4 linked regions of the Yarrowia lipolytica genome follow. The protein of the gene in region 3 purifies or fractionates together with the protein of the main gene of each other region. This does not show direct contact. Links are inferred from orthologs where the notes say so. Each region holds a gene or a part of one and is shown on either strand. Other genes may lie near its edges. The genes, in order: YALI1_C22857g, YALI1_A05052g, YALI1_B30214g and YALI1_C10730g.

What was found.
Region 1: the proteins of YALI1_B30214g (region 3) and YALI1_C22857g purify together in Saccharomyces cerevisiae (affinity purification with mass spectrometry; 4 studies listed by BioGRID, with this or other methods). This does not show direct contact. The link is inferred for Yarrowia lipolytica from reciprocal best matches to the Saccharomyces cerevisiae genes NOP7 and NOP1.
Region 2: the proteins of YALI1_B30214g (region 3) and YALI1_A05052g purify together in Saccharomyces cerevisiae (affinity purification with mass spectrometry; 3 studies listed by BioGRID). This does not show direct contact. The link is inferred for Yarrowia lipolytica from reciprocal best matches to the Saccharomyces cerevisiae genes NOP7 and MAK5.
Region 4: the proteins of YALI1_B30214g (region 3) and YALI1_C10730g purify together in Saccharomyces cerevisiae (affinity purification with mass spectrometry, with the first as the bait; 5 studies listed by BioGRID). This does not show direct contact. The link is inferred for Yarrowia lipolytica from reciprocal best matches to the Saccharomyces cerevisiae genes NOP7 and MAK16.

What each region holds. Positions count from the first base shown.
Region 1 is NC_090772.1:2,283,954-2,287,878, forward strand, and holds YALI1_C22857g (rRNA methyltransferase NOP1), read right to left. Parts: upstream 1,771-3,925; coding exon 805-1,770; downstream 1-804. Other genes in the region: YALI1_C22876g (uncharacterized protein), read right to left, coding at 3,531-3,731, 3,797-3,814; YALI1_C22878g (uncharacterized protein), read left to right, coding at 3,896-3,925.
Region 2 is NC_090770.1:502,956-509,129, reverse strand, and holds YALI1_A05052g (uncharacterized protein), read right to left. Parts: upstream 3,855-6,174; coding exon 858-3,854; downstream 1-857. Other genes in the region: YALI1_A05091g (uncharacterized protein), read left to right, coding at 1-368; YALI1_A05031g (uncharacterized protein), read left to right, coding at 5,937-6,174. UniProt on the Saccharomyces cerevisiae protein: ATP-binding RNA helicase involved in the biogenesis of 60S ribosomal subunits and is required for the normal formation of 25S and 5.8S rRNAs. Required for the maintenance of dsRNA killer plasmid.
Region 3 is NC_090771.1:3,018,871-3,023,671, forward strand, and holds YALI1_B30214g (uncharacterized protein), read right to left. Parts: upstream 2,591-4,801; coding exon 818-2,590; downstream 1-817. Other genes in the region: YALI1_B30182g (uncharacterized protein), read left to right, coding at 1-533; YALI1_B30218g (uncharacterized protein), read left to right, coding at 2,980-4,050; YALI1_B30234g (uncharacterized protein), read left to right, coding at 4,509-4,801. UniProt on the Saccharomyces cerevisiae protein: Component of the NOP7 complex, which is required for maturation of the 25S and 5.8S ribosomal RNAs and formation of the 60S ribosome.
Region 4 is NC_090772.1:1,070,543-1,075,560, forward strand, and holds YALI1_C10730g (66S preribosome component MAK16), read left to right. Parts: upstream 1-2,483; coding exon 2,484-2,501; intron 2,502-3,256; coding exon 3,257-4,177; downstream 4,178-5,018. Other genes in the region: YALI1_C10675g (uncharacterized protein), read left to right, coding at 1-914; YALI1_C10718g (uncharacterized protein), read right to left, coding at 1,164-1,298, 1,537-1,728; YALI1_C10762g (uncharacterized protein), read right to left, coding at 4,642-5,018.

The sequences.
Region 1 (3,925 bases), on a different chromosome or scaffold from region 3:
GGGGGGAGAAAAAAAACTGACCAAGTTGCTGCGCACGAGACATGTCTTAATAAATCAGCACTCGCTGATGAAGTCTCGACCATCTGAGTGTCTAATATATATACCTCCAACAGGTCGGAGATCATCAGTGGTGTGCTTTTCAAGAGGGTGGCAAACAAGATCGGGCAGTGCTACAGTACATTCCAAGTGTACTTGGCTTTAGTTGGCTTTAGTTGGCTTTAGTTGAAGAAACGAGCACTCTGAAAGAATATTCCCGATGTGATGGAGATCTGAAACTAGACCAAGTGAAACAAAAATGCCACTTTTACCATATGTATTAAAAATTCAACGTTTTCTGTTGAACTAAAAAAAAACTACAATCAATACAAACATCGTCGTCCACATTAGCTTAGTTAAGTATTTAGTTGAAATACACTTGGTTATTGTATGTTCGTGATTACTAAGCGATGCAAGTGGGATTATCCAAGTTTCGTATTCAGTCTGTCCAGTGTCAATTGCCACAGTCGAGCGCAAATACTTTGAACATGCGTCCAGTACAAGTAATTGTACTTGTATTACTCATCAACTCATTTTCTATAATCCTCCAAAATGGCATGCATAATCTGCGTCCAATTGGAGTAGATCAACATTCGCACAATAGTGAGTCCGTGATCCGTGGTCTCGTGGTGCCCTGGCTCCCTGGTCCCACCCCATGTTCCCGTCGTACAAGTTCCTGTATCCATCCTACATGTCTCAATCAAAGTATACAATTATTATTTATATCCAATCTAGCACCCCATAGCCGCATCATCCTGTGGAAGACACTTATTTGTTAGCTCGAATGTACTTGCCAATAACAATGCAATGGTCTCGCTCGTAAGGCTCCAGGGTCAGCTGTTCCAGAGGCTTGATTCGCTCCTCTCGCAGCTTCTGAACCTCTCGGGCAAACACGGTCTCGGCCTCGACAGTGGAGTCGATACAGTTGGCCTTGATGGAGATGATGACTCCTCCCTGGTCCTTGAGGAACAGGTGTGCGTTCAGGGCGATAATTCGGGCCTGATCAGGCTGGGCAACATCGGCGAAGACAGCATCGACCATACCGACAAGCATTCGGTACTTCTGGGGGTGTCGAGCATCCTCAATGATGGGGATGACGTTAGGTCGCTTCTTGGCCATGCCTATCAGGTCTCGGCCGGATCTGTGGGAGAACTCAACGGCGTAGACGGTACCGGTGGGGCCCACGACATCGGCAACATGGGAAACGGAGGTTCCGGAAGCAGCACCAAGGTAAAGGACCTTGGATCCGGGGCCGATGAAGAGCTCATCGAGACCACCGAGAATACCTGCAGCCAGCTTGGATCGGAAGGGGTTCCACACTCGGTACTCGACCTTGGTGGCCTCGCCATCGGGGGTGGTGGCAGGAACATCGACCGAAACTCGCTTCTCGCCGTAGACAGACTCACCGGGGGTCAGGTTCTTGGTGACAAGGAGATCCTCCTTACCTCGGGCAATGAAGACACCGCCGTGTCGATGGGGCTCGACAATGACCTTGGCTCCGCCCTTGGCACCACCTCGAGCACCACCTCGACCACCACGGGCACCGCCTCGGGCACCACCTCGGGCACCACCTCGGCCGCCCCGAGCGCCTCCTCGTCCTCCTCGGTCTCCGCCGAATCCACCTCGTCCACCACCTCGTCCGCCAAACCCTCCTCGGCCACCTCGTCCACCACGGTCTCCGCCGCCGAATCCTCCTCGGCCTCCGCCTCGTCCACCTCTAGGAGTAAAGCCCATTATGTGTATGTGTTGTGTTTCAAAGTCCTTTTTGTGTGGTGCAATATGGGTTATTGCACTGGTTGTGTGGTGATGAATGTCAAGATGCACTAAGGAATATTTTTTTGGTAGAAGATCTTTTTAGGCTTTCAAAAATTTTTCTGGGTTTGGGTAGCGGTTAGAGTTTGCCCGTTTGTGCACAGAAACAGTGGGTCTGATTTGGCCACTTGGGTCTGGTTGGAAACGGGGGGACGGGGTTGAGAAGAGAAAAGGTGGTGAATGGTGAAAATTAGAGAACGCGGTAGTATTATGGTGTTTTTTTCGTTTTGATTGGCGTTCTGTGGAGCGTTTCGGAGACAGGTTAGGTTTGGCCTTTAGTTGCCAACTAGGTTAGTTGGGAGTGGGAGTTTTTAGAACAAATATGGTTAGCAAGTAGTTGGGACTTTTGTTTAATGTTTATTTAATGTTAAATGATTTAGGTATTAGTTGGTCCCTCCAAGCCACTCGAAATGGAGCAATTGGGCTGGAAGGGGGACTACTGGTTTTGCAATATCTCCATTGTCGGTGGGATTTGGTCACTGGAAATGCCCTATTCGTATTTCCTTATTTGATTTCACGCTCCAGTCACCATATATCTACCAGTGCTGGCTGTACCTCTGTTCAGACCCACCCAAATATTCGCAAAATATTTAACTACGCTTGAAAGTTTTTTTTTTTTTTTTTTTTTTTTTTTTTTTCACAAACGAACCAATGTGGTACTACGGCCACTAATATGGGCTTTGGGGTATCTTCAACAGACGCTAAAACCAAATGAGGGGCTAGACAGGATCAGAAGAGCTCATGATAGTTCCACGACTCCTAGTACCGTCATTCATAGATACACAATCGACCAAGGTCACGCACCAACTTTTTTTTTATTTTTTTATTATTATTATTCTACAAGTAGGGAACTTGCATCATGCACAGGTCCAATTTTTTTTGCTGATTGCGTCTCTCATGCTGCGATTAACCCTACCTTTGGCGCAGTGATTGGGATCTGAGTAGTGACAGAGTTTGTGGAGGGACGGTACGGTCCGGGGAGAGTGGATGAGATGGTTGACGCGATTACGAAGGGAGATTGTGTGTTGCTCTCACGGGTACCATATGGCTCTGTACTGAACATGTTTTTCAGAACGTCTCCAGGAGCCATGAGGGTGGTCTCTGACGACAGAGGTACAGAGTGAAATACTCCAGAGTGACAGTGGAGGGCCATCAGAGTGAGATACTCCAGAGTGATAACGAAGGGCCTTCAGAGTGAGATACTCCAGAGTGACAACGAAGGGCCTTCAGAGTGAGATACTCCAGAGCGCCGCTTTCAGGTGGTATGTATGTATGTACTGTACAGTATGTACGTGTACTCGTACCTGTAGCACGCTAGAGAAGAACCCGTGGAACCTACCAACCGTGGTCTCTCCGTGCTCTTACTCTCTCATGTGCCTTTTTCGAGACTGAAAGCTGCCAGATGCTCTATCCGGCGTGCTCGTTGAGGGGATATGAGTGACGAGGTTACAGAGACAAGGAGATCGCAATGGTACTGCTCGGACTAAGCCGCCGGGCTGAGCTGCCGCCAATCCAGGCAAGTGAAGCAGGACGGGGCAGGAAGACAAGACCAAGACGTCTTTGTTCAGAAAGAAGCAGACTCTCTCAGTCGGTTCTACATGAACTTGACTGGCTTGACCCGTACTTTAGCATGGATAACAGACATTGGACACATGCCAGTCTTTTCAGGACACAATTCTAGTCTACAAGTACAGTACAGTACACACCATACTTGCCTCCTGGTTACGTCGTACAATGCACGTTCGATCCGCACAGTTGACCACGATATTCTGACCACTTTCACCTGATCTCCAGATCAGTACAAGTAGTCCCAGAGATCTTTCAGGTCGTGAGTCGACAATGGTGATGTCTGGGTGGAGCTCGTTCAGGAGGTTCTTGTGTTTCTATTGTTACCATGACTCGGATACCTCGCGCGGCTTGAGCTCCACTCCAAGGCTCAGTTGAAGACAACAAGTAGATCAATCATTGAGAGAATGCTTCTAGTCTGTACATACAGTACGGGTAGCACATATGGTACTTACACCTTTCCAGATGATCGGTAAGAACAATGGAGATCTTCAATCTGTTCGGCTCTCAA
Region 2 (6,174 bases), on a different chromosome or scaffold from region 3:
TCATTACTAACTCAGGTACCGTTCTTCTCGGAACAGTCATGTCTGTGTCCAACAATATGAACACGACACTCAAGAATGTGAAGATGACCATGAAGAACCGACCCCCAACCTCGCTCGACTACATCAACATTCGAGGCAACACAATCCGGTTCTTCATTCTCCCCGACTCGCTACCCTTGGATACTCTTTTGATTGATGATACTCCCAAGGCCAAGAGAAGAAAGGTTGAGCCTGGTGCTCCTGGCGCGGCAAGAGGTGGACCAGGTGCGGCTCGAGGACGAGGCGGACCTATGAGAGGCCGTGGAGGACCTAGAGGCCGAGGTGGTCCCAGAGGACGAGGTGGACCTAGAGGTCGGGGACGGTTCTAACCGAATAGTGTGCAGCACTAAGAAATGTCATTGAGAGTGTGTTAGTGTGTCTCCGGTACCTAGAGCACGCTGCCGCTGGGATTGTAAAGTATGGATGGGATGCAATTATGATTTAATAAAACGGAAAATGTATGACTCTGAATGAGAGGCTTTGTGGGCTACTTATAGCTATTAATCGCCTGTACGTCGCTCTTACTGAAGGAATTGTTCATTTCCTTCTCTTATGTTAAAGGGATGTAACTAATGAAAATACAATACAGTCTTGAACAATTGAGCGGTCCTAGAGATATGTAGGTGCAAAAGTATTGTTGAGGTAACCAGTTGTTCCCATCATTTGTCTTGATTACGCACAAAACTAGTGGTTGTAGAACTCAACCAGCACCTGTACGGTATACTACTGTTGAACTTGAACAGTACATCTTATCCATTATGATTGCTCTATAAACTCCTCCATGTTTTGGTCCGCATTGAACTTCGGCTATTCGCTTTCTAGTTCTTTCGCTTCTTTCTCAGGGTCTCTCCAGCAGTCTGAGGAGCCACTCCCATAATCTTGTCATGCGACTTTCCATCCAGAACCATCTTGGCCAAGTTGATTCCGTTAGTAGAAGTGATGTATTTGGACGAATGTCGTCCCAGAGGCTTACTAAGTAGCTTCTCAAGCTCCTTTCGAGTACGAGCCATCTGGTCCTTGCTCATCACCTTCATGCCCTTCTTGCTGTTGTTGCCTAGCTTGGTTCGCACATGGCTCTTGTGATCGTGGGTATCGTTCTCAAAGTCGGAAAAGTCGACTCCAAGGTCCTCGGCAGCCTCCTTGAGCCACGAATCCTGCTTGCCAACCTGTGTGGAGTCCAGAACCGAATCCGCCAACTCCTTGGCAAGCTCCACTCGGGGCTTGATCTGAGCCAGCACGTCGTAGTTCATGGACAGAGGTTTCAGCTTCGCAAGAGCATTGTCACGTGACAGGGCAGCTCGCAGCTTTCGCAGAGGTCCCGACGCTTCGTCGGGCGAACACAGGAGCACAGAAACACCCTCGTTTCCCGCTCGAGCAGTACGTCCAGATCGATGCACGTAGACATCTGCAGTTCGAGGCAGGTGGTAATGCACAACATGGTGCACATTGGGGATATCCAGACCTCGAGCTGCGACATCAGTCGCAACCAGAATACCGTTCTTGTTGTCTCGGAACCGCTCTAGGGACCGCATACGGGCCTTCTGGATCATGTTGGAGTGCAGCTGCACAGCGGGGAGCTCGAGGTTCTGCAACATGGGAGTGAGACGCTTGACAGAGTCGATGGAGTTGACAAAAATGATGGATTTGCCGGGGTAGGTCAGCAGGAAGTAGTATAGGTATTGGTCCTTCTCCATGGCGCCACACTCGACGATACTCTCCAGAACCTGTCGAGCGACAACTTCGGCAGGGTTGGCGTCCACAAAAGTAGGATGGAACTGTCGGAACTTCATCTTGGACACGAGGAATCGGATGGTTTCCTGATCGGTGGCCAGACCTGTTCTTTGCTTTCGCTTCTTGTCCAGCTTGAACATGAGCGACTTCTGGAAGGTGGCTGAAAACACACATGTCTGTCGTTTGGCCACCTTTCCTCGTCCAATGAGATCCAGGGCCTTGTCAAGATCCTCATAGTGTCCATCCTGAAGCATTCGATCGGCTTCGTCCATTACCACAGTCTTGGTTCGCTTAAACACATCAACCATGCCGTCGGTATCGGTGATGAACTCGTGGAATCGACCTGGGGTGGCGACAACGATGGCAGGGTTCCATTTCATGAGACGTCGCTGCTTCATGATAGACAGTCCACCGGTCAGAGCCATGACTCGCGGTCCAGAAATAGGACAGAACTGAGACACGGCATTCAAATGGTCGGTGATCTGATGAGCAAGCTCTCGGGTGGGGGCAAAAACAATGGCCTGAGGAGGCTTAACAGAAGACATGTCTCTCTCCACCTTTTCGGTCTCTTCGTCCATCTCCACCTCGTTTTCTCGGTCTTCTCGCTCCTTGTCAAGCACAGGAAGGTCAGCAGGTCGGTCGGAAATATCAAAGCGGGGCTCGGGAGCCTCATCGTACATATCGAATCGCTCTTCCTCTTCCTCGTCGTCCTTCTTTTCTTCCTGTCCGGTCATCTTGGTCACCTTCTTAGGTCTGGGTTTGGTAGTACACTTCTCAGGGACCTCCTCCTCGACCTCCTCCTTCTTGTCTGACTTCTCAGCCTCCAAAAATCGATGCAAAATCGGCAGACCGTACGCCAGCGTCTTACCACTACCGGTACTGGCCTTTCCAATCACGTCATCACCCGCCAGAATGGGTGGGATCGACTTCTTCTGAATTTCTGTAGGAGACTTGTAGCCAAGAGCATACAGGCCCTGGATGAGGGAGTAGTTAAGCTGCTCGCCGTTGAGAGTCCAGTCAGGGAGATGAATGTCGTCGGGCACACTATTGAGGGCCTCAAATGCGTTTCCCTCGGCCTTTTTCTTGCTGTTCTGTTTAGGTTGAGTCTTGGCAACCTCCTTGCCGTCCTTTCCGTCCTTGGCAACCTTGGCCTTCTTCTTGGCTGGCTCAGAGGCATCCCCAGACTTATCCTTCTTAACTTCGGCCTTCTTGGTCTCTTTCTTAGAGTTCTTCTTCTCAGGCTTCTCCCCTACAACAAAAGTAGGAAGGCCGTTGTTGACCACAATATCAACACCGTCCAGCTCTTCAAGTCCGTAGAAACCCTCAAAGTCCATCTTCTTGTCGCCTAGCTCAACCTTCTTCCAGTTCATTTTGTTAATGTCGAGAGGCTTTGTTCCGGGTGCAGGAAGATCGATGGTTTCCCCACCGTCTGAAAACTCGGCATCTGACCAGTTGTCCATTTCTGCGTCAGATTCGGGTAAAACAGCAGCCTTGACCTTAGTCTTGACAGTATCCTTTGTCTTAGTGTCCTTTTTCACATCCTTGTCCTCCTTCTTGGCAGCCTTGTTAACTTCCTTCGCAGGCACAGAGACCTCAGCCTCTTCACCTTTAGTGGCTTGTGCGAAACCCTCAATGGCGCTGTTAGTTTTAGCATCAGCCTTCTTGACATCCTTTTGGGTATCCTTCTTGCCAGCCTTCTGGACATCCTTCTTGACACTCTTCTTGACATCCTTCTGGACATCCTTCTGGACATCCTTCTTGACGTCCTTCTGGACATCCTTCTTGACGTCCTTCTCGGCCTTGCCACCCTTGTCTTCCTTCTCCTCTTCATCATCGTCAAACTTGGCGAAATCCTTCAACTTGTTTTCGTCTTCGCTCTCGCTGGCACTCAGATCAGCAGCAGAAACAATGTCCATGGCTGCCACAGTCGTACCCTTGGCCGCTTTCGCTTTTCGAGGCTCCACAAAGCCGTTTTTGATTTTTCGAAACACCTTCTTGCCGCCAGCAGGCTTGCCCCCACCAGGAGGCTTTCCACCTGGCTTGCCAGGCTTGCCGCCCTTTTTCGCATTCTGTTTGATAGCCATGGTGTGAGTGTGTACGGAAATATTCAGCCTGGAAAAATAATTTTTAAACGTGCATTGAGATGCATGGAGGTTAGGGCTAGATGGTGAGCAGAATAGGGAGAACCAAACCACGTCGTAGGATGCGTAGGAAGAGTCCCAGGGGAATGATAGAGGATATGGTGTGGTTTGGAATGGTCTCTTTATGACAATTTGTCTTGTTCATATTGCCTTAGTTAGATCAATGAGTTCTCTGAGAGATCCCTCCGTTAATAAAAAACATAACAAATAAGTGCGCTTGATTCCAACTAATCTTAACTAATTGTCTGAGTGTGGCATTCCCAATCGGTTCTGCTGGATCGAGTGGGTGTGTACAAATGAATGGAAAAGATGGTCCCAATTCGTTCTGTTCATTCAGTTCTACAATCTGAACACTTTCTTTGTCATTTCAGGCTTGAAATTCCCCTAGTATTTCTGAAATATATGTTAAAAAATTATAACTTGCGGTATCACAGAACACCCTTTCCTAACAAACATTCAACTAAAGAGGATTAGCCTTGACACAACGACTGTCTTTTATGCACTACAGTTTTCAACGTATGACACTCCAAACGGCCCTGAAACTACACGGCACTGACGAACAAGCTCTTCCCCTCTTATCAGATGACGTTATCTGATCGGTGCGCCGTGTCTCATTCGGCTGCGCCACTGTGGCTTGTGGTTCCTTGGTGAGTGCTTGTAGCTCCGCTCGGACTCCGAGTGCATGTTGCTAACGAACTCGACAAAAGAAAGGAAAAAAAAAGAATGCACAAGTGACAGCCTGACCAGAACAGTCGTAGGCATACAGCCACGTGCCAACCACGTGAACTCACGTGGATTCGCATTCACAAACAAGGTCTTTCGGGTTTATAGTCTTTTACCTCCTTGCAACTAACTACAAAATACAACCCTGTTGAGAAGACGATCTGGACTAAACAGACCCACCGTAGTTGCACTCAAAGTGGCTAACGGGGACGCAGATAGTATGCAGTTGAGGGTGGAAAGTCTTGGCCGCACGTGACTAATGCGGATAAAAAGGAAAGGAGAAACCCCGAGCGCCGTTCTAAACCATTGTCGCGCATGTTTAGTGTATGTTCTGTTGCAAGAGTGCAGGGTATTGCTGTAAACTTTGGCAATGCCTAGTTCTAGTCTGTGTCTGTTTTGACGGGGTACAATGGCAATATTTATATATAGAAATGGTCAGCGAGGGACAGCAGATGTACTGAAATTTCTGGCGGCCCAATCGGAGCTCAATTGGGCAAGTTGTGTGAGTTCTGTTGTCGGAGATGAACATTCCACTTTATAACGGAACTCAGGTGCAAGGTAGATTCGCTCCGAATCAGTTTCGGTGGAGTTCTAGTTGCTTAATAAGAGTCCAATGTGGGAGAAAAACATACCGTTTTTGATTGGCTCGTTCTGAGGAGTCGTTCTATGCCACTTGTGCTTTGATCGGACTGCGCCAAACTTCTCTAAATTGATTCCTCCATACACTTCCAATTAGCCGCAACGTGACGATGCTTCCCTTTTGCCTTTTTGTTAATGAGCCGTGCTAGTCAAGGGTTATGGGTGTGTGGGGTGGCGGAGTGATGGGATGGCGAAATAACAGGGTACCAGGAACCCAAGACGGAACCCTGGACATCATGTGACGGGCACAAACTTCTCACGTGACTGTGAGGAATTTTCGCCTTTTACTTCCCGGTTTGCGACGATTCTGGGAGCTGTTGCCACCGTTTTGTTGTTTCCTCCGTTACGGTTATACGCAGAAAAATAGGCTCCGGATAATTAGGTTGTGCAGTTATCAGATGGAGCAACATCAGATAAGAGAGGCGTTTAAAGAGCTATAGGGACGGCCAAATTGAACGGGAGATGTTTTGAATCTATTTATTGTCGCGTTAGTAGTGGGATGATCTGTTTTTTGCGTTCAAATTCCGCCCCTATAACCCCCGATTGCCCCTTGATAAATGTCCACCACCACGCCGCCCAACTCTAACCCCTACGGAGCTTATTTTGAAAAGTCGCTTTTAATTACCAGACTCACTCTTTCCAGGTTGTACTCCACAACACAACATGGTCAACTACGCGGACTTTTTCGAGAATTATTTCTCGGTTCAGGTCTTCTTCATCATCTTCCGAGAGACCATTGAGACGGCGATTATCATCTCCGTGCTTCTGGCGTTCCTCAACCAGGGTCTGGGCGATAATGTGTCCCAGAAGGACTTGCAAGTGTATCGACGGCTTGTTACCCAGGTATGGCTGGGTGGAATCTTCGGTCTGCTCATCTGTCTGGCCGTGGGAGGTGCGTTCA
Region 3 (4,801 bases):
GAGGGCAACTGGATCAGTACAGAATCCACGTCACCAACGATAACAAGAACGAAGATAAAGAGAAGATCATCAGTTACGTGCAGAGCAAGGATTCCAAGGAGGATATCCATAATCTGGCAAATCGACAATGGCACTTTCAGATCATGGAGATGCCCGAGGCAGGAAAACAAAAGACCACATCACAGAGCATTTCATCATGGAGCGTTAAGAAGGGTGACTCTTTTCAATTTTTACAGTCGCTCGCCTACAAGTTCCAATATGAGTATTGGCAGAAGGGCTTTCAGTTTGTGTACGGCAATGCAGTGATTCAGCTGACTCGTATTCATATTCTGGACCAGACCACAAAGAACATCAAGCTGCTGGACCCTTCGAAACAGTGGCTGGTCAAGGTGTACATTGATGTAGGGCATTTGACGGACATTGAGGCTCTCAACAAGGCCGTCAAGGAGCTGGAGAAGGTCAAGACAGAATTGCATGGACTCATGAATCTCGAGATTCCCGATAGAAACGCTTTCGACACTCGAATTCGATAATCAGATGCACTTACACAAGTACAAGTACTTTTACGAGTACTGTAATCTGTACTCTGTGCCTTGCATTTCCTCACCAACATAGACTTACAACACTTAATAAATTAGACTATAACCATTTATTATTTATATTCAAAAATAGCAACATGAACACCTACATACACCTGTGCTAGTATTGTACCGGTACAGTACAACTACTGTACAAGTACAACCCCACACACTATCATATTCTATCAATCAATTAGTTATGGTTTTATTTTATTTCCAAGCCGTGGCCCAGTGCCAATTTATCTCTTCTCCTTCTTCTCGTTGAGCTTTCGTCGCTTCTTGAGCTCGGCCTCTCGGTCGCTCTTCTTGTCGTTGGAGTACTGCATCTTCTTGTACAGCTTCTTCTGCTTGTTGGACATCATGATCATTCTGAGCTTCTTGTCCTCCTCTTCCTGTTTTTCAGCCTTGGTCATCTTATCAGCCTTTCGCTTAGCCTTCTTGGGAGCAGCAGCGGGGTCAGCCTTGGTGCCCTTAGCCTCAGCCTCAAGCTCTCGCTGGTGCTGCTTAGCCTCGGCCTCGGCCTCTTCCTCCTCATCGTCCTTGTCGTAGTCTTCAGGAGCAACCTCAATGTCCTCATCATCCTCATCATCATCAGAAGCATCAGAAACATCAGCGGTAGGATCGTAAGTACCAGCATCTCCCCAGGGGGAAAGATGGGCAGGGAGACGCTCTCCAGGGGCGTACTCAGAAACGGGAAGAAGCTTTCCTTCATTAATGGAGTCGAAGACCCACTGGGGCTGAACGTACGTTCGACCAGGGACTTTCTCTCGAAGAGTGGGTCGATCTGTGATCTGGTGAGTGACGCTGGCGAGATTGAACTTCTGCTTAAGAGTCTTCTCATCAATGACGTTACCTCGGGTCTCGTCCTCATTGTCGATGAGTTCGTCCATGGCAGACTCAGAAATGACCTTTCCTCCAAATGCGATGATCAGGAACTCAATGATATCAAGGGGAACCTCTCGACCAATGAAGATAGTGAAGTTAGAGAAGAGCTGACCGGCGGTAGAGTTGAATGTGGGCTGGGCAAGGGCGTCACCCTTCTCGGCGGAGAAGGAGTCCAGTCCGTCGTCCTCGACTTCCTCCTCTTCCTCAACCTCCTCCTCCTCGCCGGCATCAGCCTTAGCAGCCTTGGACAGAACGGCAGCAGACACGTTCTCGACCTTTGCCTCGGAGTTACCCTCAATCTGGGGGACAACACCGGCGTTCTGTCGAGACTCCAGCACGTACGCATTGATACCTCCAACACCACTGAGCTTGGTGGAGTTGATGATGGGAGGGAAAACAAGACCGTTCTCATTGTAAAGCTTGTAGAGAACGAAATGCAGTAGGGTGGTGTAGAACTCGAGGAATGTCAGCATGACTCGGAAGTCAATATCGGCAGGAATGTTCTGGGGGAATCGGAAGGGCACGAGCCACATGACCTCGACTCCTCGAATGTTGGCAGAGTAGTAGACTCCCTTGATGGAAACAAACACTTTTCGCACAAGTCGTTCTCGGGCAACAAAGGCCATCCACTGGGTGCAAATGGCCTCGGCTTCGGAAACAAGTCGAGCAGAAACGTCGTCGGAAGCAGGCAAAGCGGCGAAAAGGAACAGCATGGACAGAGCATCGTCAATATCTCTCAGAGCGTCCATGAAAGTGGGGTATCGCTCCTTGATGATATGGTCCAAATGGTATCGAGGTCGGTTCTCGTCGATTCGCTTGGCATCATGAAGATCGCCTCGACCAAGAGCTCGGGTCAGCTTCTTGGCAAAGGTCTTGTGCTCTCGGAACTTGTCGAGAACGGGCTCATGCAAAAGGTACTGAATGTCCTTGGCGTAGTAGAAGGTGACGGGAGCTGTGGATCCCTTGTTGGCCTTCTTCTTGCTTCGGGGCTCTCGAGGGTAGATACCCTTGAAGATACAGAGCCGTCGGAAGTCGGCAAGCGAGACCTGTAGCTTTCGGATAGCCTGAGTTCGAGTGATGAAGTTTCGAGCGGCTCCAGCGGTATGCTTTTTCTTGATCTGGCCCATTGTTGTGTGTGTGAAGAGTAACAGACTTCTGAATATTTTTTTGGGATAGGATTTTTACAATGCATAAACTCTATAAATTTCTGCTGGGACATTTTTTTCGCCCAATGCATGGATTGCTTAGTAATCAGGGAGTTGAATGGTGCCAGGTGAATATAATATATTTGGTAATTTCGGATGCAAGAATGAATATTACCATGTCTCACCATGCCATACTCCTCATTATATAAGGCCACATACTTATACAGTAAGAAGTGTACATCACTTATCTGTGGATTAGGTTTTGCTGCCCTCATCGCCACTAATAAGGCAGTATCTTTTCTCAAGTAGACTTGATAGGCATCGTCTGCAGCAACATCCACCTCCACACCTCTTCTATCGCAACCATACCCATGAACTTCTTCAGAGGCAACATCGTTCTGGGGAGACTGGCTCCTGGTTTCTGGAAGAGTACTCAGACTCTGGGCTCCACCTCCAACCCCATTGTCAAGAATGTGGTCGGTCCTACCCCTGGCCAGATCAACACCATGTTCCGGCAGATGCAACGACTTGGCAAGCGGGGTGGCATTGCTGACATGCTGAAGGAGACCCGAGGCAAGTTCAATGCCCTGAGGAACGATACAAAGACGTTTGCATACAACACAAAGGGCCTCTTCACGGCTCGACCCTTCACCAACTTCGCTTACGGCGATGGTGCCCGATGGATTTACCCCGGAGGTGATCCCACCAAATACATTCTGGCCAAAGCTCTGGCCTTCTCTATCGGTACCATTGTTGTCTCTTACTTTGCCTTTCCTCTGTTGTTCAAGTATACACCCATTGGCGTGTTTGCGCAGCGGCCTGACTGGATGATCTCTGCCATCATCGGTGTCAATGCTGCCTTCTTCTTGCTGTGGAAGTCCGGTAACCCCTGGATCATCCGATTCATGTTCGAGAACATGCTTCTCAAGACCGGGCCCGGTTTCCGACCTGCTCAGCTTATTGGATCAGCCTTCTCCCACCAGGAGTTCTGGCATTTCTTCGTTAACATGTTTGTGCTCTATCAGTTTGGTATCCCTGTTGCTATGACCATGGGATCTGCCTGGTTCTGCCACATGTACATGACCTCTGTTGTTGTCTCTTCTTTCACCTCCCTGCTCGTGCCTTCTCTGCTCGGCCGAGCAATTATGTCTCTGGGTGCCTCGGGAGCCATCTTCTCCGTTGTTGGTGTTTTCTGTTCCGTCTTTCCTGACGCCACTATTGGTTTCTTCTTCGTTCCTCTGCCTTTTGGCGCATGGTGGTTCTTCCTCGGTTCCATCGCCATGAACGTTGGAGGTATTGTTGGAAGATGGGGTCGGTACGATTATGCTGGACACTTGGGTGGATCCCTGTCTGGTCTGTACTTTGGCTGGAGAGTTAACCAGTTCCGATCCGAGATGCGAGAACGAATGAAGCGACGAGGATACCCCGGTTTCAACTTTTAAACATTATGTAAATTATAGATCCATGATATAGATAAGCAGGTCTCTGTTCCTTCCACTATCGTAGTACATACTGTACCTACAGTACATACTGGAATGTATGTACAATGTAGTCTTAGATGAGAAAAGCGCGTGCGTGTGTGTGTGTGTGTGTGTGTGTGCGTGTTTTGTATGCATTAATCTACTTGTATATCCATTGTATGTACCGGTACTGTTAATTTCATTGGGTGGGCTCCTCCTGCTTAATATCACGGCTGACAACGAAGAATCGGCCGTCCTTCTTCTCGGCACAACTCAGAGCATCCCATAGAACCTCGGGACCAGGCTCTCCAGAGTCCTCAGCTGTGAGCTGCTCGTATGTAAAGTCCTTGATGGGAGTAAGGCAGGTCAATGGAGCCACTCCGCTGACATCAATGTCGTGAATATGAGAGACCAGGTTTACCTGAGTTCGGAGAGTCTTGATGAGAGAAAACATGGTCTCATCGGAATCAGGCATTGGCAGTGCAGCACTCTTGAAGATGGGTGCCAGCTTTTTTGAGACCTTCTGGAGGGTCTCTGAGGTGATTTCGTCAGAAGAGTGGTCTGAATGCGACAGAAGTTCATCTGTGGACCATTGGTTTTCCGGGCTGTTCATAACCTTGAGGATGTGCTTTTGGTCCTTCATTTTGATGAATCCATCGGATGAGAAGTGGATTCCCCGCGAAGAGGCCATCTTGACAGCATTGTGTGACACTCGGGCGATTCTAAGCATTTT
Region 4 (5,018 bases), on a different chromosome or scaffold from region 3:
ACCGACTAGTGTTGACCAAGGAGCTGGAGGAGGAGCAGGAGTGGCAGTTGACTGGCGGTGCTGAGACTGCCGAGGAGGCCGATATGGAAGAGACCAAGTTGGAGCCCACTCAGTCGACCACGACCACTCTGTCAATTGCATCTTCTTCTTCGGCTGTTTTGTCTGGCTTCCCTAAGATGGAGATCACAACCACCAGTAGCGAGGACGATGATGGTGATTCGGACGAGTCCCAGCAAACCAATGACTCGTTCATTTCGTCTCTTTCGCCTTCACAGGCTCTCTCTTCTCCTTCCCAGGGAGTCGATTTATCTCCTTCGCAGCCCTCTATCGACTCTGCCGAGTTTGAGGGCTTTGAGGAGTGTCTACCCGTCAAGAGTGGTCGAAACAGCTTTTTGTCTACTACCACAGCTATTCCTCGGCCGGATTCGTCTCTCTCGTCTCGTTCTTCTCTTCAGCCCACTGTTTCTAACGGTTCCAAGCAGGATCGGTTTTATGAGGTTCGAGAAAGCATTCTGAGAGACACCGCCCCGAGTGATCGGTCTGATGGTGATACTAGGTCGTCGTCGCTGGATCTGCCCAGAAAGGCGTCTCGGTCTTTATCTCTGAGCAGATCATCTGGTGATCTCCGTTCAGGTGAGAATAGTCCTCTCAAACCGTCCATGAGTGTTCGGAAGCTGCGAACCGGTCTTCGAAACGGCTCAGATTCCCCCGGACGGGAAGTTTCGCCTGTTCGAGCTGATAATCCGTCCATTGAGCGATCGTCGTCGCTGATCAGAGGCTCGGACTTTACTTTGCACGGTAAAAAGTTTTCTGTTGTCGAGGTCAATCCCCAATTTGCCGCCACTCCCCACCATAAGAGAACCACCAGCAGGAGTGAGCGCAAGGAGGAGAAGAAGGGGGAGAGTGAGCCCTAGGGCTGACAAAACAATAGCATTATTTATTGAATTAAAATGATTTATGAACTTGTAGTATCGTAGATGCCAGGACAAGATGTATACAGTTTAGCACAACATAGACGTACCTACTAGGGAGAAGCTGTGACTTGTAACTTGAATTGAAATGTTCACAGACTGCGGCTACACACTTATAATTACAGATCCAATCACTTGGGCTTCGCCCGAGTTCGTTCACCTAAGAATAAATTAATAATATACAACAGTGGATTACCTCTGTCCCTCCTTCTTTCTCTGGAAATGCAGGTCCGTCCGGCTGCCTCCGACGTTGATGATCTTCGGACAGCCATCTCTGTCCTTTTCCAGTCGTGTGCATTCAAAGCAGTAATAAGCGTCCGCCACCGCCTGTGTTAGTATGGTAAGCGAAAGTAATGAGAAAAAATCCTTAAGAACGCGATATAGTCACTTCACAGTTGATCTCGAGGGTCCAAGAATCATTCACGAGCTTTTGGTGTTCATTGACCACATCGGAGCTTAGAAACCCTCCTCAGACACGTGTGTCTCATCTCCTCGGCGTCTCCATCTCACCGCACTCAATTCACGCCTTCAGCAAGTCTTCCGTGGGTGCCTTGAATGTACTCACATATCCGTCGCAAATAATACACCGATCCTCCAACTTGCCAAAACTGCACTCATCACAGACCTTGACCAAGGTGGTAGGTCGCACAAACGAGTCGCAGACAGGGCACTTGCCGTCGCACTTTTCACACAGACGGCCCACACGAGTGCCGCTCTGCTTCATGCACAGCACCAGATCGGGATGGTGTCTAGACATTGTGTGATTGTTCGTGTCAGAGTGATACCAAAAGTCGATGCCAGAAGTTTCACTATCGAACTTTATCAGAGCTCCCTAAGAAGGTGGCAAAGAAGACAGTACGACACTAGACGATGTGGAGCCTTTGAAAAGGAGGAAGATTTAGCAGGCTTGTTTATATAGCTTCGAATAGCCCCCAGTATCACTTCATGGTTGAAAGCTCTTCCACCGTGCATTCTGTAGAGTTACTATACATCTTCAAGTATTAGTTACACTCTATAGATGAGACTACCAAGTCTTTTCAACTAATAAAGACTACTGACTTGGTGATACATTTACCACCATTAATTCCATGATATCCAAAAAACAACAACTGCAGTCACATATTTCTCAGTAATGTGTATATACAACCACACCCAGTTCCCCTCCATCTACTACCTCTCTCTCCACAAGTGTAGAACGTCCCCTTCCCTTACCTTCCACCAATCACCTAGTGTTTGCATAATCCATGCAGAGAACGGAGATCACGTGACCAAAATGTATTACGAAAACGGCACGTTGCTAAAAGGTGCCCTATTTTTGGCTGGAGAGTGTTTTATTCAAGAACTGTGTTTGCTTACTAACTACTCTGGCCAACCACAAACGAGACAATTTAGGTTACTTTCTCTAAACTGCTCATAACCTGAAATAGAGTTTGAGAAATCTGCAAGAGCCAAAAAAATTAGAAAGATTGAAAGTCTGATCACGAATTTTTCAAGCATAACTACACATTCACAATGTCGGCGAGTGACGATGTGAGTATCGATGGAAAGATGGAAGCGCCCAAGGGAGGTTCTTTTGGGCTGGAAAGAAGTGCAACAGAGTGGAAAAGTGGAAAAATCCGGATCTATATGGCTTTTGGCAGGTACTTTACCGATCACTCAAGGCGGTTGTTAGACAGAGGAGGTGGTGGACGGATTTGTGACGAGATAAAGAAGGGGTGAAGCATTGGAAGAGCGATTTCGATGCTATTTTGAATGTTGGAGAAGAGCTATGTGTTTTCCTTGATGTGGAAACTGTACTACAGGCTACGTATGTGGTTGGTACGGCTGTACTGCTACACAGACCTCAGGAATGTGTGTATGCTTCTGTTGGAACTGTCCGCGATACTATGCTATCTGCAGACGCTAGAACATTCAAGCGTGCTCCAAATCTGCTTCAAATCAAATCTCAAACGTCCTTGTCGACCTCGTCCATTCTCCTAGTCTCCATCATGAACGCTGTCCATGAGACGTTCGGCAACACTGTGCCATCACCTGAAAGAAGACTCTATGAACATTTTTTCGAGCTGTTTCGGATTTTACCGTCTACAGTCTCTAAAGGTTCGGTCTGAGTCGGTCTGAGTCGGTCTGAGTCGGTCTGCGACCTGCTATAACTGAACCTGAGCTCTACAATATGCTTTCCGAGTGCGACTAAATCACAAGCTGAACCGAGATATCAGTTGAAACACTATAGATTATTGTCCACCGGCAGTTAGGCTGCCCACGACTGCTCGTTCCTACTAACACAGCTCATCTGGGAAATTCTAAACGACCAATTCTGCTCGTTCAAGCTGAAAACCGGCAAAGGCCAGGATTTCTGCAAGAACGAGTACAACGTTACCGGCATCTGCGAGCGCAAGTCTTGCCCTCTCGCCAACTCCAAATACGCCACCGTTCGACGGGTCAACGGCCGATTATACCTTTACATGAAGACTGCTGAGCGAGTGCACACCCCCAATAAGTGGTGGGAGCGGATCCGACTGTCCAAAAACTACAAGCGGGCCCTGGAGCAGATTGACGAGCATCTCATTTACTGGAATGAGTTCCTGGTTGACAAGTGCAAGCAGCGTCTGACTCGTCTCACCCAAGTGGCTGTTGCTGAGCGACGTATTGCCATGAAGGAGGAGGATACCCATTATGTTGGTGTGGCTCCCAAGGTGAAGCGACGAGAGGCTACCCGAGAGCGAAAGGCTCTGGCTGCTGCCAAGGTGGAAAAGGCCATTGAGAAGGAGCTGCTGGACCGTCTCAAGAGCGGAGCATACGGCGAGAACCCTCTCAACGTGGACGAAAAGGTGTGGAAGAAGGTGCTCGAGGGCGTCGAGGGAGCCAACAAGGAAGATGAGGACGAAGAGGAAGAGGAAGAGGAGGACGAAGAGGAAGAGGGTGGAGAGGTTGAATATGTCGAGGATGAGGAAGACGATGACGATCTTGTGGAGCTGGAGGACCTTGAAAAGTGGCTGGGTGGAAGCAGTGACGAGTCTGGAGACGAGACCGATGCCTCTGAGGACGAGACTGATACCGACTCCGAGGACGAGAAGCCTAAGAAGCGAAAGGCTGCTGCTGACGGTAAGAAGCCCAAGCCCAAGACCAAGAAGCGAAAGGGTCCCAGCGTGGAGGTCGAATACGAGGAGGACAATGGCGAGAAGGAAAAGCAAATGGTGGACTGGTAGATACACTGAGAAGGAGCATAGACGGAGGAAAAATGTAATGTATAGAAATACTGACTTGTTTGAGAGCGTTTGTAGTGGAAAGATGTCAGCTACTTCACTATCTTAAGGAGAGATAAACAGAACGTCTTTGCAGTCAGACATCAGAAGTATGGGTGATCTTTATTGCAGTACTTGTAATCATTGAATTTCTGTATGAAGTCTTGCTTGCTTGACCTATCTCTTCATGACAATGTGAATTGAAGCAATGATTGGGCTCCGATGTTAGGGAGAAACGTGCCTTCACTATTCCAAGTACAAAATTACTAAATAATGGTTGATACGAATAATCATAGGCTGCTATGGACTACGTTTAGAGGGAGATAAACGCCTTAAATAGAGGTCGAGCGACAGTAAATAGAGGTTGAGAGACAAGTCGTAGTACAAGTATCTAAGCAACAACGAGATATGTTTCTAGCTATATATATTTACTTGAGCTGGTGCTCCTTGTGCTCCTTGTCATCTCCGTAAGCTTTTGTGCCGTAGTGACCATTGATGCAGATAATGTCCTGGGGTCGATAATCCTGCTTTCCAGAAAAGAAAACCTCAAGGATCTTCTTGGTGCCCTCGGCATATCGGCCCTGGGCGTCGATGGAAGTTCCGGAGATATGAGGAGTCATGGCGTTTCCTCCCCCGTACTTGTTTCGCATGGTTCTCCAGGGGTGGTCCTTAGGGGCAGGCTGGGGGAACCAAACGTCTCCGCCGTAACCTCGGATCTTACCGGACTCGAGAGCCTCGACAATGTCCTCGGTGACACAAATGGCTCCTCGAGCGGTGTTAACGAGCCAGGCACCATCCTTCATGT